Astyanax mexicanus: one gene and its partners. Each later gene encodes a partner of the first gene's protein in a complex. Links are inferred from orthologs where the notes say so. Each region holds a gene or a part of one and is shown in the gene's direction. Other genes may lie near its edges. The genes, in order: lrrc23, nme5 and ropn1l.

Region 1 (8,514 bases):
CATCCTGGTTTCTGATGCTGTTACAAAACAAGGCACAGTTGCTGCTCTTGAATATTATCTGTCCACTGTCACGTGGGGACGGATGGCAAAAGGTAAGGAAATAAACTTTTTTTTATTTATCTAGAATTAACTAATCACCCAACTGACTTTAGCAATGCTCTCAATAAAAAAAATCTTTACAACAGTAATCTACAGTCTAGTTCAGTGATTCTTCACATTTTCAATATAATCCTGATCCATTCAACTACAGCCTGCAGAAGTCATTGATTGGCTGGAAGCGCTGTGTTAGCAAATTGCATGAGCTGAAGGCACATTGTCCTGCACATTTTAGTGTGTTTACTGCTCCATAAGGATCATCTTGAGCTCCTGCAGGGGCCCTCCCACCTGCAGCTAGACAAGGCATTAGATGTAAGCTGTACCACTGGATCCTTCCCTCCTTGTTCCTAATGCTTCAGCATGTGGTTTTCCAGTCTACAAAAGTCTTTGATTGGCTGAGTGGGCTGTGTTAGGATGGTGCAGGAGCTAGCTTTTTAGGAGGAGGGCTGGAGCAGGGTCCTGAAGGCACCATGCCCTGCGCATTTTAGTAATTTCTCTGTTCTCAAAAACACCTGGTTTAACCAATTAGCTTATTAACAAGCACTGTCAGAGAGCTGAAGGGGTGTGTTGCAGCAGGAAATCACTAAATGTCATGTAATGATGCACAATGTGCTTAACTAAATCCAATTAAACAGTATATGTGTGCTCTCTGTAATTTTACCTCAATATTTGTTGATGTTGATCTGTGTTTTATAGCTACTGACAATACAAATACAAATGTATAATGTGTTTGGTTAAATAGGTGTCTTTAAAACTAAGACACACAAAATGTCTCTTACTCTAAATTGTTACTTTTGTATTTATGACTTTGTCATAATTTCCTTTACAGGAAGATGGGAGTGGATGTGCGAGACTCCAACACTTCTTCCACCCTGTGAAGGTGCTGTGACTTACTACTCTCACTTTGGTAGAGTACCGGGCTTTACCTCTGGGCCGGGCAAGCGTTTCCGAAAAGTCCTTGAGGAGCATCTTGAACTCTTGCAGTGGCCTTCCCACCTGCAGCCAGACAAGGAGCTCTCTATTAAAGGAGAAGATGGGAAGCTCTATCACTGGATCCTTCCATCCTTCTTCCAGCTGCTGCAGGACTTGGCTTCCCAGGGACTGGAATTTTCTATCGTGTTCCGCACATTCGGAACCGACCTGCCTCGCGTTTTGTTGGTTGTTCAGCGAGCCCTTGAGCAAGGGACCCATCCACTCTTCCCTGACCTGCCAGCTCTAAAGGTATTGTATTATACCTTTTGTATTATAATTTGGATAGTGGATACATTTATTTTCTTCATTATTTCCATTTAGTATATATTTGTTGTTTGTGTTCCAGCTGCTGATAATTTAAGGTTAGACATGTATATGACTAAAGATTGCGGTGGCTTGTTAATCTTTGACTATAATTGATATTTAAAAAGCTATATAATTATGATATAATCATTATGTAATTATACATTCTTTTTATCTGAATTGTCCCTCTCCTTTTAAACCAAATATCACTATTATCATTACACTCTCTGTATTCAAATTAGTAACTCTGTATGTCCAAAGGCATCCAAAGAATAAAACGTAACATTCTTCCCTTGTAGTTAAGTGTGAATGTAACAGCAGGCCGGATCAGGTGCAGCAATAAAGGTGCAGTTCTGACTTATGGAGAGGAGCGTTTGTCTGCACGAGACGGGGAGAGGAGCCTGTATCAGTTCATGAGTTCTTCACAGGGGCTGAGTGGCTTTCAGGACCATTTTGACTGGTGAGTAACCAGCCAAAAGTATTGAGAGACAGCCTTGTTGTAGTTGTTCCTTTTCTTAAGTGACAGTTAACAACAGTAAACAATCAAGTTTTCCTAAATCTCCCCTCAGTCAAGACAATTTTGAGTCACTGAAGCTACAAGGCTAATAATGCTGACATAGTGGTAGAAGCTTATACCTCAGGCTGATTTGGGGGAAGTTTCCCAGAGATGAATTAAGCCTAGTCAGCATTTTCAATGGAGATTTTAATAAATGGATTTTAATAAGAGTTAATAAATGGGGTCTAGAGCTCAATTTGTTCTGCATTAGCTTTGTAGCTATGTAAATGTAGACGTAAAAAGTATTGATTAGATGGCTTGATTTGGGTTAAAGGTAAAACTTGTTTTGGTTTTAGGGGAGTGGGGCAAAAATGTTAAACAGCCTGGTTCTCTTGTTAATACAAACATGTCATGAAAATCTCAGATCTTAGATTAGTTTTTCACTTGTTGATATATGAATCAAGCAGTTTTTCATATTGACAGTGAAAAAATTGCCAGTCATAATGAACTCTGTTCCCAATAGGTGGGCACAAAATACGTACTCCATTTTGGGAGGGAAACCACTGTGGATTGACCCCTTTGACTCTGCAGTTCAGCATATTTTTATCGATGACAACATCCGGCAAAACGATGAAGACACTATTGTACATCCTAAGGTGTGTAAAAAAAAAAAAAGACTGTCATTTTCTCCTTATAAACCTAAGCTTAAATCAGAGAGTCACCTGTGCTTGTATTCCTCTTATTTAGGTTTTTTTGGATCCAGAGGGTTCACAGACCCGCACGGCCTCCACTTCAGAACTGTATGATCTGTGTTTGGTACAAAATGACCTCTTCAGAGCCATTTCTGACCCCAGCTACTTCATCCAGCGCATACACATCTGCATGGAGAACTACGAAAGGAATCTTCAGCAGGGATTGAACTAGGTTTCACATGTCAATCTGTAGGATGATTGCCTGGGAAAAAAAGATAAAGAAGGAAACATGCTTGTGGTCATGTGATCACATCCATGATAAAATGACCAACTTTTTCATTACTCATGCATCCCGTTAACTTGAATATCTATATGAACCAAATATTGATTTCTGATTCTTTTTGGAGCATTTTTAACAGATAATCTTTGGATCTCTGGTCCCAGCAGCTCAGACTGGAGCTCTGTTGTGTGTACATCTGAAGTGGTATGAATAGCATTTAAGTAAAGTTTTACAAATGTGTTTAGCGCTATAATGCCAAATTGGGAATATGAGGATGGACAGGAGACTAGGTAAGGGCAAGACGAAGAAGAAGGATGGTTCCATAGTAATAATAAGTTATCTCTAATGTAGTAGTGCAAAATATCTCAATACTTGAACTCTTGATAAGCTAAAAAGTACATAGGGTGAGATTTAGCTTTTTTATATTTGATAAAAACAATAAGTATGTTGCTTTATTCAGCAGTTTATCTACCGCCATATATTTAGTACTGATGTTACTGTGATATCATTCAAACCAGCCCAAGTTTGTTCATTTTGGAAGGATGAAGTTTATTTGAGACTCCCAGATGTGCAGACAGTACAAGAGAACAGGCAGGAACATCCATTCTGCAGGATTTAATACTTGAAATTAATTATTATTATTATCCCCTTCTTACATTATCAAGCTGAGGTCTGATTTTTTAAGTTCAGTGTAACCAAATCAAAGCTTGTTAGTGAGGCTTGTCATGTGAACATAGCCTAATTTGCCCCTGCAGTGATGCTGTCTATTCAAGACAGCTGAATACAACAATCATTTTAATAACTGAATCATCTGTTGAATTGCACATCAAGTAGCTTTAGTAGTGTGAAAGTACTGACATTACTTTTAGTAGTGCACACTCTTAGTAGATAAAACGTGGGCAGCTTTTAAACAGGAGGAATGTTTCTGCAGAGAAGTGTCTCAATATCAGTGTTCTCAGGGTTTGAGTTAACATTGAGTAGTATTAAGCATTTTTGTAGGATTATCAAATTCTATTTTACATGTTAGGATCCTTTGTGGATCATACTTGAATTTCTACTTATTTTACATTGGAAGTGAGTTTTTTTTTAACTCTTTAGAATGTATTTTTCATTGTGCTTTACATGCCAAAAGAAAGTGCTGTGAGGTCTGGAAATGAAAGAGTAATGTTTATCAGATTCTGATCTACATTTAGCACTGAATAGAAATTTAGGCCACAAAGTTATATTTTTGTTAATGAAATATAGCTGCAGTATTTTCCTAATATACTGTTAGATTGAGTTGCTGAATTAATGAAAACTAAATGCACTGCATTGTTTACACAAATCAAACTCCCCATTTTCTACTGTGTTTAATTTTAAGATGTATTTATATTTAAGCAGAAAAATTATGCTTTGGAAAACGGTTAAATTTTTTCACTTTAGAATAATTAAAGCTGCACCATGAAAATGAAGTGTAAATTGTTTTACTACTGATAACTGACACTGTGGTGCAGCTGACACTGGGTATTTATTTTAATTTTGAATATATATATTTAATTATATGTTTGAGGCTTTTTTAGCATGTTTTTGTTTGTGTCTTTGCAACTAAAATAAATCCTCAAAAGTTGTGTGTGTCTGCTTACAGCTGTATGTCATCAGATGGCAATAAGAAATGTTAGAATGTTAGAAATGCTTTGACTTTTATTAAAAGTTAGAGAAATTTGTAGGAAAGAATTGCTTTTTGTATTTATAATCCAGCTACATCATATTTTATAGCACTAGTACTGTGATCAGTGGTCATTAAACACATCCAAATTTCTCATTTAAATAACATTTCAAACAATATTAGACAGTACAGTGCAACATGTATATTTTGGGCAAAAAATAACTAGTGTCTTTTTTACAGATTAAGTTTTGAAATAGTGTCACGGGTGACAAACTAAATTTATAAAAGTGACTTCAATTTAAGGTTGTTTTGGGGGTAAGGGATGTGTATTTCACGTGTTTCCTTGTCCTGCTCACCGTGCTTAAAAGCGCACGAGATGCGTAATTACGCACCAAATGCGTAAAAGCTCACGAGATGCGTAATTACGCACCAAATGCGTAAAAGCGCAAGAGATGCGTAATTACGCACAAAATACGTAAAAGTGCACTAGATGCGTTATTAGGCACAAAATACGTAAAAGTGCACTAGATGCGTAATTACGCACTGGGCAAGTAAAGGCTTACTATGTTTCATGGCTTATATCGCCATTGTTGTGTTTTAAATGTTTCACACAAAGACTATTTTACAGTCATGGACCCCCCATTTACCAAACAAGATTGTTTTAATGTGATTTCGGACTATCTATGGAATTCAAGAGGGCTGGGTAAGTGTGTTATATCAGACACCTTATCATCGGATCAGACGGTAATAAAATTGCATCACAGTTGCATTCTCCATTATTTGGTTTGATATAAATAACTTAACACTAATCTCTGTTATGGATTTCTCAGGGCATCTGCTAACTCTTTTAAATTACTCTCTTCATTTTTTCTAACAGGCTGATTTGGCTTTAGTAACAGCAATCTAGTCTAATTTGTTGTAATAGTTGTTTCCTTTTTCCCCCTTTTTTGCTTTTTTCTAGTGGTTTTAGCTTTTTTTAGGGTGTAGGGCTCAGGGAAGGACCGGTCTTTAGTGGAGCGTGCCCAGGGGAGGGTCTTCCTGTTGCCTGGTAACGACTGTACACTTTAGGAGCGGTAAGCTGAACGTTATTCTAGTTAACTGCAGTAAATAAAACGCCAATCAGAAAACAGAAGAATAACGAATAAAATAAAATTGGACATAATGTCTGCTGGCAAAAAGTAGTTCATATTACCCCAGAGTGAGTATTTTATCGGGCTACTGTTAATTAGTAAACTAGGTAGGTTAGCTAACCTCAAGTTAAGTTGCTTCTCCCTAAAACCTTAATTTATATAAACCTAAAACTATGTCATTAACTGACGAGGACGAGCTGTTACACGGCGAATCTGACGAAGAGGGGCAGAAGGAGGAAGAGGCTCAAGAGGAAGAAGCTACTGAACGGGATCAGGTAACCGCGTAACACAATGATGGTGTTTAATCATTTATCCCGGGACACTTAAAATTGCATTATTTTATAAATTTATGCCAAATATATTGTCTAAAAAGATTGACAAACATGCAACAGAATGCCTAAACTAAGTGGATTAACCTTAAAACAGGTAGCTAGCACCCAATGCAAAAATGACCATCATGACTAATTCATCCTAATCTAAACCCTATCTCAAGATCTGTCAGACACTGGAAAATATTCTCCTTTTCCTGAATTCCTGTTGATGAGAATCTGTTCTTTAGCAGACACTAGACATGTCTCTATATAGTACTGTTAGTACATGCCAATGACATCAATACAATAGAAACAGATTAACCAAAGGTATCTTAAACAGAATACAGGTTCTGCAAGCTTAATCAAACACACAGACTATAGACCGCTACATGATCAGACATGTTCTTTTAGCCCTGTCATTCTTCATCAGCTTCTCTCACATCCTGGCTTTTATATAGTAGTAACATACTCTTATTTTTAAACTCCTCCATGCTTGATGAGATTGTTTCAAAATACTGATAAGAGATAAGAAAGAAAATAGCATAAAGAGCTGTCAATAATGTTATTTTAATCCTATCACCCTTTTACTATCTGTGAGTTTTCTGAAATACTTGTCTCGTCACTTTAAACTAAAGTCAGATAACAAACAGATAGGAACAGGGTAAAACTAATATCTGTATCAGCTATTGCAGATAGGTGTCTCACTAGTGTCTGTACATCTCACTTTTTAGTGTTTAAAATTCTTCTTTGTATTTGTTGTATGTGTTCTAAGAAATGCTGTTGAGAATCTGGGCCTCTGAGTCCAATACATAGGTAGTTGATTAATATGAAATCAACTTTAGCATTGATTTATTGGTTCACTTCCGCAGCAGGAGTGGAAAACCTGGATAGCTTCTCTGGTCTATCCTTAGGGGAAGCCTCCAGTAACATGTGTAGCACCTAGGCAAGTACATGAATTAATTTAGCTTTTCTTTGTTTTTCTGGTTTCCTTTTTCCAGATTGAGTCCTGTCCTCTGACACAGGACATGATGGCCCAGAGCCTGTCTTTGCTGTGCCGCACTGGAAACGGACTGGCCCATGCATTTGTCAAAGCTGACCTAAAAGAAAGGTAGTCTTTTTGAGGAATAACTGAGCATAAATTGAACAGAACGTGAGATGAATACTTTTTTAGAAAAATGAAGAATGAGTGTTTTTTTATTTCTGTCTTAACCAAGGAGTCTAACGGATATTGCCTTGCTGAGCTCCTTTGTCCATCTGCGTTTCTTGGACATCTCCTCCAATTTCCTCACAGACTTTTCTCCACTGGCTGCCTTAACACAGCTGCTTTGGCTAAAGGCCGATGGCAATCAACTTCCAGGGTTCAGAGATCAGCCGCTGGGTCAGCTCGCATACCTGCAGTGGCTTAGCTTAGCAGCCAATCGTCTGGGTGATACAGAGGGGCTCGGTGGGCCTGCTCTGGAAAGCCTTAATCTTACTGGTTAGTGCCATCTTTAGACAATTCATTGTTGATTTTGTTTTGAAGTTCATTGAGCAACACTTACAATGAGCTATATTTTATCACTAATTGAGCAATATTCACAATGCTTCGGTTTTTCAGGTAATGGCATTCAGAGGGTGTCTGGCCTTGAATATCACAGGCTGACCAATCTGGTGACACTGGAGCTGAGAGGGAACAGTTTAGAAACTACAGATGGCATTTACCTCCCCAACTTGCGTAATCTTTACTTGGTATCTTGGCATTTTTTGGTTTGTGGTGGATTAAAAAGCAATAACAAGATGAAACATTACACATTACACAATTCTTACTCTGATTGTCTAGGCCCAGAACAAAATTAAACAGTTGGAAGGTTTGGAGAAACTGGAGCGCCTAACAACTCTTCACCTCAGAGGCAACCAGCTAGAAACACTAGATGGTCTGAGTCCAAGTATGAAATCTCTGCAATATCTCAATATCAGGTACATAATTAGATAATAAAATGTCTCAGACATTCTTTCCCTAAAAGCACCAAATTCTGAATCAAGTACACATTGTATACATTTTATCTGGTTAGTTTTGGAGTCTCAAGCACAATGGTACTCATGCATGACGCATATTAACACAAAAGGATTCTGGCACAACATTGGTTATTTTTCTTCTTATGTTGTTTAATTGGTGACGGTAGCCTTACTCAACTTCCTGTAATTGGTTCAAAAGCCCAAACCATCTAGAAAAGTGTTCACACTGCAAATGAACAAAAATATGGTTCAGATGATTCGGACCAAGAAAAACTTAGTATTTTTATTATCTCAGCATTCACAATGTTCTGTGTTCTGAGAATCAGTAATATTTTGACTTTTTTGGTTCAGACCTTGTGATTTTTTAGTTTGGGCATCACAAAAATGTCAGGTGTGCAACAAGCCACAAAATTTGGTTTAACCAAAACAGGTTGTCTCTGTCAAGATTTATTTGAATTTGCACTTTTTCAGATGCTTTTAACTTTTGGACCTATTACAGGAACTTAAAGCTATCATTTACCGATTAATCAGTAAAATTAGTCCATTTACTAAACTGCAGTGTGAAACCAAATCTAACCATACCAAAAGTATACA
Region 2 (8,145 bases), on another chromosome or scaffold:
TAAGTCAGAGACAATCATTTTGTACCAGCAATATAATTGTGATTGCATAATGCAATTACAATAAAATAGCAATAAAAAATTAAAGCAATGAATAAAAAACAGCATAATCATACAAAAATGTAAGTATAATTTAAATATCCAAACATTCAAATTATACAGGAGTTGGAATGTGTATTTTTAAAAGATAAACTAAATTTTATACATATGAAGCCATACACTCATTCTAAAAAATAAGTGCATTAATTGTTTAACAAGTCAGTAAAGTAATTAGGTCCACAATCCTTTGCTGGGTTGGGCTTTGTATCCTATTTAACCACCAATATAAAATAATTTTACTCATTTCATTTTGCTTAAATAAGCCCTAGAGTTTACATGACTGAAACAGGTCTTTCTTTTTTGTACAGTCTAATATTAAACACAATTTTGTATAGCTGGCATAATTGTCTTATTGAGTTCTACCCCTTGTTCTTCTAGTGGCACCACAACCCGTCGCTTTGTTGGACACACCAAAGATGTTCTGAGTGTAGCGTTCTCTGCCGACAACAGACAGATCGTTTCTGGGTCGAGGGATAAGACCATCAAGTTGTGGAACACCCTGGGAGTGTGCAAATACACCATCCAGGTCAGTGTGTTGATACCTTGGCGCGTGCGTGCACTGCATTGATTGGTTAAAGGCAGAGGCCAAATTCTATCTGTGTCCAGCACAATTATGCCATGTTTATGGTTGTCTTGTCCATATACTCCATATTGTCCATATATTTTGTTCTGAATCTCCTTTATTCTCTCCTACAGGACGAAAGCCACTCAGAATGGGTGTCCTGCGTGCGTTTCTCCCCAAACAGCAGCAACCCCATCATTGTGTCTTGTGGCTGGGACAAGATGGTCAAGGTACGGCTTGATTGCACTCATCCCAACTCAAGACTTAATAGATTCTGCTTTACTGTACCTTACCCGATGATTACAAATCTACATACATTATCTGAGCTCTTGGGCTCTGGCGACAAGTCCTGCAATTATGATGGGTAAAGATTTTTAGCATGAAGATTAATGGTAATGTGTTTTTGTCTATTTGTGGGAGCATATTATACCAATAGTGGTTCGGAGTGCTCAAAATGTATGCATTTGCTTTTTTGACAGGTGTGGAATCTTGCTAACTGTAAGCTAAAGACGAACCACATTGGCCACACAGGATACCTAAATACAGTCACTGTGTCTCCTGATGGTTCTCTCTGTGCCTCTGGAGGAAAGGTATGACTTTGCCTTGCCCTAAAGGTTATCTTTTACTATTGACTATTGCAAGTTTTATTCAGTACAAACATATCAGCAATAAGTATAGAACTGAACCTTTTTTTAAATAACTAACATAGGGAGGCAAAACTATTCATAATGAATATAGCAAATTATGAGATTTGTAAAGTAAAAATGTGAAGTAAATTAAAGGATGGGGAACCAGTGCACAGTTGAAGGCATGTGAAAATGTGCCTGCAATCATTTTGTTTTATTAATTTGCCACTTTTTCAACCACTTCATTATTTTAATAGCCTGAATGTATTTCTGCCTGGCTTCTCAAAGAAAACATCATTGCTTGGTATAAATTAGTTGTGCCTTTTACCTAATTTCAATTGCCAAATAATTGATGCATATGTAATATTTGGGTAAATGTAAAATTGGGTTAAAAAAAAAAATAGCTTACAACTCCGGTGTAAAATGGATTTTGGGGTAGTAAAACATGAAATGAGTACTAACCTTTTTGTTAAATAGCTTACCTCCGCTCTCCTGCAGCTTTCCGAGATCCAGCCAGCACTCTTTACAATGGCCAATTCAGGACATGCACTTGCCCCTGATATCGCTTTTTACGCCATCATCCAGGCTCAGAGTAGCTCCACACAGAGCCCTGACATTTAAAATGTGGCATTAGTAACTTTTAAAAGTGCACAAAAGGCTTATTAAAACCCACTGTTTACAACCTGTAGTGTAGCCTGATCTCTAGGCACCGCCATATCAAAGTAGTCAATCAGTGTAGTGGTGTTGGCTAACGGTGCCAAAAGTAAATTTAACACTGGCGTTCTCCTTTAAGCTTAGTCTGCCTGTGGTAGACATATCACATGGTAAATATTAGAGTATAATAACGCGCTTGCATTAATAAAAGCTGTAGGCTTCCATACGAGGCTCTAATGGGTTCAGCATCTCCAACAAATGGTTGTTTCAGCTGCAGTTCTTAGCTCTAATGTGGTGATGAAACTTTAATGCCATCTGTCTCTCTGTGATGATAAAGAGGCTGTTTCTGAACATTATATTAATTTCTGATTGAGTGTGTGTAAGAATTGTGCCACAGCTCCTCAAATGTGGGTGTTTTGTTCTTGCTTGTGTTGTAGGACGGGCAAGCTATGCTGTGGGATCTGAATGAGGGAAAGCACCTGTACACCCTGGACGGTGGGGACATGATTAACGCCCTGTGCTTCAGCCCTAACCGCTACTGGCTGTGTGCTGCTACAGGCCCTAGCATCAAAATCTGGGTGAGTACTACTCCAGTTCTTTTCATTCTTAACATACCAAGACATAGATCCGTCACAAAATATTTGGTTGATATACTCTCCCAGAAGTAACTGCGATAAACAATATTTATTGCCATTTAAAGACAATTTTAAAGAAATGTAAAGACAATGACACTGATATAATAATAAATAAATAAATAGCCACTTAGTACATGTTGACCCTGTAAAAGCTGATATTGTAATTATCCTGACATTCAACTTTTGGGTGGCCTGTTTTGTGAGACTATAAGATGAGTTCAGTGACGAACCTTTTAATGCCTTCTGCTGTCCTGTGATGATAAAAGAGGCTGTTTCTGAGAACTGTCTAAAAAACAATGTTGTATGCTTTTTTTAGATTTTTTCCAAGACTTCTTAATATCCATAAGGGCAGTACTGACCATATGCATTTTTTTCTCTTGTCACTTCAGGACCTTGAGGGTAAAATTATTGTTGATGAGCTGAGACAGGAGGTCATCAGCACAAACAGCAAGGCCGAGCCCCCTCAATGCACTGCTTTGGCCTGGTCTGCTGATGGACAAGTAAGCTTAACCTATTATTCTTTTATAAAAATGCATATTTAGGTTTTTTGGGTAATAAACACTAAAAGGGCCTTACCGGACAAACCCCTGTGATTATCAAACCATATACTATCTGAAACCGCATGGTGACAGTCCTGCAATTATGAGGGGTTTGGGTTAAATTAGGCCCATCCACATATGTCTGGATATTTTTTTTTACCTCTTTATATATTTCCATTATGTATAAATAAAGCCTTAATATTTCCTTTTTTTGTTCATTAAAACAGCTGGTTTAAATTGCTGTTTTTCATTCTCTTCACAGACTCTCTTTGCTGGCTACACTGACAACCTGATCAGAGTGTGGCAGGTTACCATTGGAACTCGATAGGCTTTTTGTAATGTTTACAATTAAATAAATATATCACAGTTCTTTCAGTCATTGTCTTTCTTTTTCTACACTGCATGTAACTGACTGGGATGCCATTTCAGTTTATCTATCCAGGTATATTTACAGTGTTGTTTCAAAGCTGACATTTTACATTTAAGGTATTTTAGCAAACTCTTAGCCAGAGTGACTTACAGAAGTGATTTGTTTACTTATTATTACCTGGTTTGTAAAGACTACTTTCAGAATGTAAAAAATGTAAAGCTTTGATAATGTTTAAATGACTACGAGAAAATGATTAGTTTAGGAACTCTTGAAAAAGATGATACAAAGAGATACCAGTAGGTCCTGAAATATTTGGAAAGTGACACAATCCTAGTGGTTTAGGCTCTGCCTGCCACTACACCGGATTTGAAATTAAACTACTGATTTCACTGACTTTCAGCTATAATTCATAAGGCTGAATTTATGAAGTACAACTTCTTTTTTTTTTTTTCCTTCTTTTTTTTAAATAAACATCTATTAAAGCTCATAAAAAATGAGCTGATCCTTTTCAGGCATACAATAAATGTCAACTCTTTGAAAGGTTGGCTGAATAAATAATTAAAGGATTTGTCTGTCAATACTGGTATTACTCGGTGTGCATTCCTAAATAAAGTTAGTATATGAATAAATAGTTTGTGAGCAAAACGTATTTGCATCTTACCAGTTGATTACACAGTATTCCTGTTTTTAATGTACTTTTGCACAGTTATTAACATTGTCCTGCCAAATATTTATAGGTTATAAAGGTAGACAAAAGGCATGTGTAATTGGTAATTATATTTTTAATTTGTTTATTTTTAATAATAAACGGTCTTTAAATGATTGGAGTATATTGGGAAGAGTTATATGTGCATTTAGTTTTAAAAATGGAATAAAATCACTAGTTAAAACTAACTGCTGCTCCTGTGTTGGGGTTAGCATTGTGCAAACCAACAACATTAAAGGCCCTTATTTTTTTTAAATAAACGTTTAGAACGTTTTTATTATACTGACGCTGAACGTGGTTAAATGTTGTATGATAATTATTAGTAAATATTACATTTTATATATATTTTTCTTTTTTCAGTTTAAAGGCGTTTAAGGCGGTCACGTGCATGTGGTAACCAAGCAACCACACAGCAACAGTCCTCTGGCGCTAGTTAGCTGAGCATAGCGTAGCTTAGCTTTTAATACTGAGACTTTATTTCAATATTAACGATTTATTGTGATATAAAAAGTAACGGCGTCTAGAAAACAGTTAAATGGTGGTTTTATATCTGGACTGAAGTTTTGTTTGGTTTGAACTGGATGTTTTCGCTGTAGTTTAAAGTGTAGCAGTGAGCTGTATTAGGTTAGCTGGCGTAGTTTATTGTAAAAGCTGAGTGAGTTATGGCAGACGAGCGGAGTTTACCTCAGAAGCGCCTTTTCCTGGAGAGAACTCTGGCTCTGATTAAACCGGACTCTGTAGATAAAGCAGAAGAAATCGAGAACATAATTCTACAGTCCGGCTTCACGATTTTACAGGTATTAAACTTTACATAACCTAGCCTTAGTAACGTTAACCAGTTAACTGAACAAACTAATAGTTACGAAATTAAGCCTAGTCTGAATAAAGATAGATAACCTAATATTTCAGTACAAACTCAACATTCACAATATGTAGTCCAAGATAAAATAAAATAATATCGCAGTATTTTATGGCATTTTCACGATATCACTCTTGGTGATATGACAAAACACTGAATTTAAACATTCAAGAACCCACAAAAAGAAAATAAAAATTATATTATAGCATACGATATGATTCATAAAATTCAAGAATATTAGATTTGTAACAGAAGTCAGTGATCCAGAATGTCATGATACTAATAATGCACTCCATATATCTCCATATATCCAGGACTGAAGTAAAATGAATGATGCTAGACAGATACAGCTCTGAAAAAAAGAGATCACTTAAAAGTTTCTTTGATTTTACCAAATTTTAAACCTCTGGAAAATAATCTAGAAGAAGATTACATCAAACCAAGCTGGACATGCCGAGATACATGAAAACTGTGATTAATAACCAGGGTTGTTCCACCAAATGCTGATTTCTGATCTCTTAAAACTTAATAAATATGAACTTGTTTTATTTGCATTATTTGAGGTCTGAAAGCTCTTCATTTCTTTTGTTATTTCAACCATTTCTCATTTTCTGCAAATAAATGACAATGTTTTTATTTGGAATTTGGGAGAAATTTTGTCCGTAGTTTATAGAAGAAAATAACAATGTTCATTTTACTCAAACATCTACCCATAAATAGCAAAAACAGAGAAACTGGTGCAGAAATTGAAGTGGTCTCTTTTTTTTTCAGAGCTGTATATTATCTAGATCAGAAGTTCTCAGACTGGGGGCCACAATGGGGTGCTAAGGGGCCACAGAAAAAGGGTTAAATATATTCAATACATATTTTTCAGCTATGTTCATTTATAATTATCTGATTGGCCATATCTTTAAAATGTTAAAAATGTAAAACACATAGAAAGTTACATAAAAGTACATAAAATTACATAGAAAGTTTATGTTTTTTTTGCCCTGGGTAGGATGGGTGTTGGGGGAGCAGTGACACCATCCACAATGGGCAAATCCAACTAAAAAGTTAATAGAACTACAGATCTACACAAGTCACGTGTTACCACTGATATCTATGGAATCTTTACTAGTTAAAACTGTACCTTCTTAAATGATAAAGTAATGTTAATGTAATAATGTATAAATAATAAATTATAATAAATAAAATGTTTACATATATATATAAATTGAGAAAGGTTGATATTTGGTTTTATGTAGTTGAAAGGGCACAGTAGGAAAATATGTGGAATTATTCTTAAACTAGAGCTCAGCTGTTCATTATTTTTTTATGTTATAAAACAGAAAAAGAGGCTTCAGTTAAGTCCGGAGCAGTGCAGCGATTTCTATGCTGAGCACTACGGAAAGCTGTTTTTTCCCAGTCTGACAGCTTTCATGAGCTCTGGCCCAGTCATCGCCCTCGCACTGGCCAGGCACCAGGCCATTTCCACCTGGAAAGACTTGATGGGACCAGCCAACAGTTCCAAAGCCAAAGATACACACCCTGACTGGTAATTAAATGTGATTGATAATGTGTTCAGATTCAAGCACTACTGGATTATTTAAAACAGCATGCAAAAAAAAAAAGTTTGCATATTTATAATTATTATTATCATTACTAGTAGCAGTAGTAATAACATGGATGTCCATGGCTAATATTACTGTAATTATCAATTGCACACCTTATCATTTAAATTTCACTACAAAAAGAAATACGTTAGATAAAATCCTAATCCCTTAAAATATAGCACTAAGCAACACAAAAATGTACTATAAGGAATTCAAAAGAGTAAAAATAGGGCATTGCATGACATGCCGGTATGCCCCATATATCCCATAGGGATTCATTCCTCTCTTTTAATTTAATACAATAGTATTTATTAGATTTAAATCCTTATTGTCTGACACAGACCTAAAAATTAGGATACACCGCAGTTGGATAGATAGGCTGACTAACTGACGAGCTGACTTTCTTTTTTTCTTTATTAATCCCAGTGGGGTTAATAGAGTAATATCATTTGTATTGTATGTATAGAGAAAGTTTGGTCAGTAACCTATAAACATGATGGCAGGTAAAGTGCCTATGCAAGTGTCTTATAATGCATTTTAAATCAAATAAGGTTTATTGTCTCATCACGTAAGTACAGATGAAAAGTTGAGTAAAACACATGGTCCCACATAGTTTGCAGAAAGAACAGTGAGGTTCGTATGGTATATAATCTTACTACAGGTTAGGTGCCCTGTGATGGTTTGGACAGAACAGTGTCCTACTCTGCTCAGTGGCTTGAGTGGGTGGGTTAAATAATTTATGATCCTTGTACATCCCCCCTATCCCCCCTATCCCCCCCCATCCCCCCCCCCCCCCCCCCCGGCTAGCAATCAAAGTAGATATACAGAGTTCTCAGCCACTGGCCCAAAACAATAACCCCATGGAGGTTTTTAACCCCATCAAATTTGAAAGGTCAAACCACTGACCCCCCCCCCCCCCACCATTCACATCTTTACCCAGCCATCTCAGTCTGCAAACGACTTGACCCATCAACAGAGTACTTAAGAAAGATTGAAAATGACCCAGATTTTCATGCCGCTCAGAAACACTGTCCTCTCAAAGTTTGTCCTTACAAACTGTTTTATAGTCTTTTATAGTGTAATTGCACTTCAAATGGTTCTTTAAACTAACTTATAAGACAGTGGTTCTCAAACCGTTGTAGGTAAGGCACCCCAAGGTAACCAGATAATCACAGAAAATGTGCAGCCAGCACTAAACTGGTAACTTCGTACAGTATATAAGCCAACAGTTTGTTTCTTTACTCTCATATCTACAGTGCTGTAATTATTAACAATCATTTTCTGGGTCCTACAGCAGAACCCTGTGGAACTCCGAACCAAATGTTTGCCTAGCAGTTTACAGTAGTTTCTGCATAAGGATTCGTAGTTAAAAAATGAACCTAGGCTTTTAAGGCTTTTTTGAGGGGCGAGCCTTAGGAAATTTAGAGACCATATGTTTAAAAAAATATATCCATATTTGGTACCACATATGATACAATAAAAACAGTGTGATATAAATCATAA
Region 3 (7,533 bases), on another chromosome or scaffold:
TTAGAGAAACATCATTTACAGAAACATATAGAAATTTTTACTTAGCACAGAAGGCTTTACCTGTATTTAATTTTTCTCCTGTTCAACCAAGAGTTTACTTATAAAATCATGGAAGGTCTAATTCCTGTATTCAGTTTTACAGAAACCACATTATTATTATTATTAGTATTATTTTAAATGTATGTCTAATTTTCCCCAATTTTCTTCCTATTAAGCTAGAGCCAAATATCCCACATATTCAACTGCTAGTCAGCTGAATATACCCCCACATCAAGGGTGATGCCACAATACAAGGATGGAGAAGACTAGCACATGCCTCCTCTGATACACATGAAGTCAGACTTAGTCTCTTTTAGAACTGCTGTTGATGCAGCATTGTCGAGTAGCATCACAGCTCGCTCAGAGAAAAGCACAGCGACTCGGTTTCGATACATCAGCTCACAGACGCCCTGTGCTGATCGTGTTAGGTTATGACTTTATTCTACGCGCTTATTAAAGTCTTCAGAACACCCCCTTAGTATACACAATGTCCCTTCAGAGGTTCACCTCTTAGTATGTGGTAGATCGATAATATCGATATAAATGCTGGTATTGGTATTGAGCAATACTCGTGTAAAAAGATCGATACTCAAGCTTTTTTTCTTTCCTGTACGCACCAACTGTTGCGCACACAGATTCATCAAAGTCTACTGTCTGTAAGAGTAGCGCTGCACCCCCAAACCCGACTCTGGTCTTTTGTTGTTGCACGTGGCTCAGCGGAGCCAGCCAAACAGCCAACATGTATGGAGAGAGACACCACCTAAGTATTCTTTTTTTTTTTGGATATTTTATTAAATATAATACACTCTGTTTATTTAAGAAAAAATAGAATTGCACTGAAAGTAAAAAAATTACTTATGTTTTTTATTGTTTTTCCTAAGAACAATTCTATTTAAAAAAAAAGAAACAAATAAAGAAAGAACTAGAAAAGATGTCTAGTGAGGTGAGAATTTTTTTTGTATAGTGGTTGCTCCTTTTCTACCTCAAAAATATTTATTTTCCTAATGTTAAGGCAAACTTACTGTGCCACTGTTTCGAAACAAAAATGTTGATTGTGGTAAAGTATTTCGTTGTCATGCACAATGTTTGGCGAAATTTTATCCTAGGTCTTTTGGATCCTTTGAATCTATAAAGTTGAAAATATTAAAAGGAATCGGTATCAATATCGGCAATACTGGCCCTGCATTAACTTGGTATCGGATCGATATCAAAATTCCCAGTATCGCCCACCTCTAGTATGTGGTGCCCAATACTTCTTTTTTCTTTTTTTTAATTCACCATGTCCCTTCAGGGGTTCACTACACTTAGTATGTAGTGCTTACCACTTAACGTAAATAAAATACACCACGTCCCTTTATTGGCTCTGTAGGAGAGTGATCTAAAATAAGGTAGAACAAGGCTGACTGCATTAAGGCACTAAACACAAATAGAAGCTCGTCGTGACGCCACCTGTCAACGACCGATAGACCAGCGGCACAGAAACAACCAGTAAAACTGCCAGAGCTTAGTTAGACAAGTTAGATGGCGAGGCTGTGTTACGTTAGGACTTTATTCTACGCGTTTATTGACGTTTAAAGTCTTCAGTTAGGTTAGCTAGCTAGCTAGCTAATCAGACCGCAAACATTAGCATAGGGTAGCTAAGCTACTCTACCATACACCAAGGTCACTGTTTTAATAAACACCTGTTAAATATCAGGACATGAAATAAGCTGTTCAAAACTGTAATCTAGATACAATTAAAGGACAGATTGACTGTAGACACCGCCTGAACACATATTATACCATTATACACACACTAACAGGCTTCATACAGTTATACAGCTAAGCTAACATAACCCAGTAAACGTTAGCTAAGCTAATCTAGGTGAGCGGCGGAAAGTCTTACAATCAGCTCTTTTCTGAGCGGGTTGTTGAGCTGCATCTGGTACTGCCGCTTCAGCCGGGCTCTGATCGCAGCCCGCTCCTCCTCAGCTCTGCGGTATTCCGGAGAAAGATTGAAATACTCCGCTGGATCCAACGTTTTTGGCCGGGAAGCCAAAGGTGCCTCTTTATAGTCCGCCATGTCTGCAGACGACCAGCGAGCTGACCCGGACTGATTTACCTGCTGCACACTCACACAATATAATACAGCTCTGGAAAAATTAAGAGCACTTCAGTTTCTGAATCAGTTTCTCTGATTTTGCTATTTACAGGTATATATTTGAGTAAAATGAACACTGTTGTTTTACGGACAACATTTCTCCCAAATTCCAAATAAAAATATTAGATAGAGCATTTATTTGCAGAAAATAAGAAATGGCTGAAATAACAAAAAAATGCAGAGCTTTCAGACCTCAGATAATGCAAAGAAAACAAGTTCATAATAATAAAGTTTTACGAGTTCAGAAATCAATATTTGGTGGAATAACCCTGGTTTTTAATCACAGTTTGCATGCATCTTGACATGTTCTCCTCCACCAGTCTTACACGCTTCAACTAAATAATGTTATACTCCTAGTGCAAAAAAACAAGTAGTTTAGCTTAGTTTGATGGCTTGTGATTATCCATTTTCCTCTTGATTATATTCCAGAGGTTTTCAGTTTCTTAAAAAAGAAACCCATCATTTTAAGTGGTCTCTTATTTTTCCAGAGCTGTATTAGAAAACAGGTGAGAAACACTAGAGGGAGCCCGCGAGTAAGACCGTAATGCATGGGGTGAATGGAGCTAAACGGATAAAAACTCAAATTAAAAATAGTTTCCTACTACTCATCCAGGATATTCTTTCATTTAAGAAAGTAAATAAGAATATTTCTCTAACAAAGCAAAGAAATCGCATCTGCATTTTTCTAATCTTCCACATCAAACGATTTTTGGGCAACACGGACACTAGCATTACTGCTACTGTAAGCTGATTGATTGGTGAATAAACTGATGCTGAAGTTACAGCCACATCACTTTTAAAAGGCTTAAACCTAAAGTTTAAAATGTTTAAACCGATATCTTTAGTACAGAAACAGTTGATATTCCTCTGTTTTCAATAAATGAATTAAATGTTCAGTATAAAAAAATCAGTATAGACGCCCTCCGGTGGTCTAACAAACCCAGAGCAGAGACTCCAGGTTTAAGTGTGCAATCTGCTCTCTGGGGATTCTCTGCTCGCATCACCCAGATTCCAATAAAAGTCCGATTATGCTCAGAGTATGCTCTTATCAGTTTTTCTTTTGATAGAAAACATCTTCATAATTAAAAAACATAAAAGTAAAAACCACAACACCAAAATCATATAAAGCAGACTAATACAATAAAATAAATAAATACATCACACAAGTACAGGTGAACAGGTGAGTAAATAACTTGAGCGCGTTCTTCAAACCAGCCACCCTTTGCTCTGATTACTGCTTTGCACACTCTTGGCATTCTCTCAATGAGCTTCAAGAGGTGGTCACTTAAAATGGTTTTCAGGTGTGCCTTATCGTGGTTAATTTGTGGAATTTCTTGATTTATTAATGGGGTTGGGACCATCAGTTGTGTTGTGCAGAAGTCAGGTTACTACACAGCCGTCAGCCCTATTGGAAAACTAGTACAATTCATATTACGGCAAGAACCAATCAGCTAACTAAAGAAAAACGAGTGGCCATCATTCCTGCTTGTAAAATGACTCGACTCGGGATTTTTAGGGAGAGGAAGTCTAATTTAACATATTGGATTAAAAAAACAAAAACACCAAAAAAAAACAAAAAAAAAAAACACATGTGACATGTGCCACATTTATTGTAATAGTGCATGCACATACAATGCGTTGCTTAAAAATTTTAAATAAATAAAAATTTTGCTTTATCTTATTTCTTTTTAAAGGCTGTTTATATACAGGATTTATTTACTTACATTTACTTAGAATGTTCACCATATATGTAATTTGAACTTGGGCATCCGAACATCTCTGGAAAAAAGTGAGACCACTACAAAAAAAAAAAGAGAGATCACTACAAAATGATATAAGTAAAATGAACATTATTGGTTCATTCTATATTTTATTTTATTTTACATCTATGTTATATCTATGTTTTATGTATGTTCTGTACATTATTTGAGGTCTTAAAGCACTGCATCTATTTCATTGCTTTGATCATGTCTCATTTTCTGCAAATAAATGCTCTAAATGAAAAAATGTTCTAATATTTTAAAGTGGTCTCATTTTTCCAGAGCTGTATTTATAGTGTTATACATAATGTTAAATGAGCCCTCTAGGGGGCACTCTAGTCACCCAATAACGTGTTGCTAGGTAACGCGCTATACACAAACAGTGCGCCGCTGGGAAAGCAGGGGGTCTCAGGATGGTGACAGCTAGTATAGCTCACTGTTAGTTTACTAGTTTAGCTTTGTTTTAAAGGATGTTTTATTTCATCTAAATTAATAGTGAACCTCTCTTTTGTCCGCTGAAGGAAGCCCGTGTGTTATTGTGAGTCCGGTGAGTTGTTACAAGGTGTTTATAGAGGATTAATAGAGTTTAAAGAGCTGAGCTTAAGTCTCTCACTGGTCATTTTTATTCTGTTCTTATAGAAAACTTGATTAACCAGGCCGAGTAATTCATCACAGTCAGGCTGAACACTTGATGACTGTTGTTTGCTCTAGATTAAAGGGTAGCTACATTATATTAATAGGCAACAGTTGTAGCTAATTTATGAACCTATATAACGTTAAACTATCCTGTATATCTGTAGCACCAGTCAAAAGTTTGGACACACATTCTCATTTAATGTTTTTCTTTATTTATTTATTTATTTATTTATTTTTTTTACTTTGTAGATTAATATTAAACACATGAGTAAGGGACACAATCATATATAGAATTACATAGTAAACAAAAAAACATTCCAACTGAGATGGTGATTTGAGGTGATTTGGGATGAGCTGGAGCTTCACTGTGTGAATAAAAAGCAGCAACTATTGTTCAGCACCTCCAGGAACTCCTTCAAGACACTGAGAAAACTATTCCAAAAGACTCTCCCTCATGAAGACACTAAGATTAAAATACCAAGAGTGTGCAGATCTGTCCTCAAAGATAAATGTGAATGCTTATATTAATCTAAAGTAACATATTATGATTTGTTTTACCGTTTTTAGTTTTCAGAATAAATCTGCATGTGTTCCTGTATCATTTTATGGTCTACAATATTACAGTTGGAGTGTAAAATAAAAATAAAAAAAGATAATACATTAAATGAGGTGTCCATTATTATTATTATTATTATTATTATTATTATTATTATTATTATTATTATTATTATTATTATTATTATTATTATTATTATATAAAAACTTTAAAACTTATTTATCATTTTCATTCCAATTCACAATTGTATTCTACTTTCTGTTGGTCTATCATTTAAAATTGAAATTGCTTTTTCTTCAGTAAATTAATCTAATTTTCAGTATAAAAAATCAGACGCCCTCCGGTGGTCTAACAAACCCAGAGCAGAGACTCCAGGTTTAAGTGTGCAATCTGCTCTCTGGAGATTCTCTGCTCGCATCACCAAGATTACAATAAAAGTCCGAGTATGCTCAGAGTATGCTCTTATCAGTTTCTTTTTTTATAGAAAACATCTTCATAATAAAAAATAAAGGCATTTTATGGATTATGGATTTTATGGGATGTAGTTTGTAGTCAGCTAAATAAGCAAATAGACAGACATTAAATCAATGATTTACAGTTAAATTACAGTAGATATGTTGTGCTTGTCTGAAATGTAACTTATTCTCTAACATTTTACTTTCCTTTAATCTTTTTTGGGTTTTCACTAGATCACTTCTTAACAGGAGACATGCCTCCTCCAGATACGATGTACTGCTCCCAGCAGATCAACATTCCCCCAGAGCTGCCTGATATCTTGAAACAGTTTACTAAAGCTGCTATTAGAACACAGCCACCTGATGTACTGCAGTGGGCTGCCACGTAAGTTGGTACACTTTGCTAGATTGTGAAAAAACACATTGCATGACATGTACTGTGATTGTATCTTTGTTTTTGTTTGTTGAAATTGTCTCTCCAATTTGGCCAATTTCAGCTCTCGTCTTCAGCCAAGAACAATCATGGGATCAATGCTCTGATAGCTGCGGCGCTTAAAATCTTACAAGTTTTAGCCTGAAACAATTTAGTCATGCCCATTCACCCTGAAGCCTTAAAATGTGTTTCAGCTCGGACTGCTTATTGAATGACACCCAATACAGGGCAACCACTACAGGGCAGTAACAACCACTACAGGGCAGTAACAACCATTACAGGGCAGTAACAACTACTACAGGGCAGTAACAACCAAAAGCATATTCAATGATAAAGGATTAAAGCAACCATATTTAGCATTTTTACCTTAAAAAGAGCTTCAAAATCTGTAAAGCTCCACTGACATGTAAGAGAGAATGTGTCTGTATTCTGGCTACTCCAGGCTCAGTGTGCTGCTCACTGCACTGTGTATCTCTTTTGAAGTGGGCAGGAAAAGTAGAAAAAACTGCAAGAACTGTGCAACCTGAATGATAAGTGTGTAACATCCAGCAATATTAGCCTGCTCAAGTGTGTCTGTTCACATGATTATTTTACTTTTAATAATGGTTCTGTATCACAGAATCCCCAAATTGAATGTAAGCATAAAATGAAGGGTGTCTCAAAGTGTAAATTCCACTTGCCAATTGCAGGGGTAGCCTACAAGCGAAAAAAACAAACAAACAAACAAACAAAAAAAACAATTCTCACATACTGTGGCTTTAAGGGAGGTCATTTTTGGCACATCATCTTTAAAAGGTTATGAGCTATACATTTCAAAAGTTTTGAGGAATAGAGTAGGATTACTAATGTTGAAAAGTTTTCAAAAGACAGCTCATACACAGGTAGAGCACATTAAATATGAGTCACTTACGTCACTAATAAGAGACTTACGTTTGAAATGTAATCCACAGTTATTTAAGTTTTTCTTTTAAAATGCATAATTTCCTCTTAAGATATTTTTCAGCACTTTCAAAAGGTGAAACTCTGCCAGTCAAGGACAGGCTAGAAATGCCAGTAGCAACACAAAAGACAGACACTGGGCTTACTCCAGGCCTGCTCAAGGTCCTTCACAAGCAGGTTCGTGACATAAGCCTAGCTAGCTCTTTTATTAGTGATAAAAATGTTTGGTTATGTAACATTTTGAATGAATATAACTGAACATATTCTGACGCTGTTTTCTTTTTATAATCACAGCTTTCACCAAAAGAACCTGTTATGAAAGAGGAGTTGCTGAAGAAGTGGAAAGGCTTGTGCTTGCCGGTTGAACAGCTCAATACACTCCTTGACCTTGGCAACTTTGATGAACAAATTGACTGGATGGGGTTCTTTGCTCTGAGCTGCAGTGCTTTGGGTGGAGTAAGTGACAACTAAAGAATATATTAAAATGATTATTAATCTTTAATCCTGTTTTGGCTAAAAACATACTTAAAAGTAACTGTGAATTATAAAATCTCTTGATTATAAGTGGAAGAGAA

Evidence for each region.
Region 2: lrrc23 (region 1) and nme5 share a complex: the UniProt entries of both Homo sapiens proteins name them as parts of the axonemal radial spoke complex. The link is inferred for Astyanax mexicanus from reciprocal best matches to the Homo sapiens genes LRRC23 and NME5.
Region 3: lrrc23 (region 1) and ropn1l share a complex: the UniProt entries of both Homo sapiens proteins name them as parts of the axonemal radial spoke complex. The link is inferred for Astyanax mexicanus from reciprocal best matches to the Homo sapiens genes LRRC23 and ROPN1L.

What each region holds. Positions count from the first base shown.
Region 1 is NC_064420.1:34,902,698-34,911,211, reverse strand, and holds the start of lrrc23 (leucine-rich repeat-containing protein 23), read left to right. Parts: upstream 1-5,055; 5' UTR 5,056-5,187; intron 5,188-5,444; exon of another isoform or gene 5,445-5,445; 5' UTR 5,446-5,787; coding exon 5,788-5,889; intron 5,890-6,923; coding exon 6,924-7,033; intron 7,034-7,139; coding exon 7,140-7,402; intron 7,403-7,522; coding exon 7,523-7,653; intron 7,654-7,744; coding exon 7,745-7,881; intron 7,882-8,514. Other genes in the region: uncharacterized protein si:dkey-32e6.3, read left to right, coding at 1-92, 926-1,317, 1,671-1,831, 2,391-2,523, 2,615-2,791. UniProt on the Homo sapiens protein: Essential for sperm motility and male fertility. Plays an important role in the proper assembly of the third radial spoke (RS3) head and the bridge structure between RS2 and RS3 in the sperm flagella.
Region 2 is NC_064417.1:28,157,090-28,165,234, reverse strand, and holds the start of nme5 (nucleoside diphosphate kinase homolog 5), read left to right. Parts: upstream 1-4,583; 5' UTR 4,584-4,850; coding exon 4,851-4,985; intron 4,986-6,378; coding exon 6,379-6,584; intron 6,585-8,145. Other genes in the region: rack1 (guanine nucleotide-binding protein subunit beta-2-like 1), read left to right, coding at 475-622, 793-888, 1,138-1,248, 2,376-2,516, 2,963-3,073, 3,375-3,440. UniProt on the Homo sapiens protein: Functions as part of axonemal radial spoke complexes that play an important part in the motility of sperm and cilia. Does not seem to have nucleoside diphosphate kinase (NDPK) activity.
Region 3 is NC_064408.1:99,302,765-99,310,297, reverse strand, and holds the start of ropn1l (ropporin-1-like protein), read left to right. Parts: upstream 1-4,312; 5' UTR 4,313-4,486; intron 4,487-4,578; 5' UTR 4,579-4,630; coding exon 4,631-4,658; intron 4,659-5,820; coding exon 5,821-5,971; intron 5,972-7,011; coding exon 7,012-7,135; intron 7,136-7,252; coding exon 7,253-7,414; intron 7,415-7,533. Other genes in the region: ndufb4 (NADH dehydrogenase [ubiquinone] 1 beta subcomplex subunit 4), read right to left, coding at 1,925-2,101. UniProt on the Homo sapiens protein: Functions as part of axonemal radial spoke complexes that play an important part in the motility of sperm and cilia. Important for male fertility.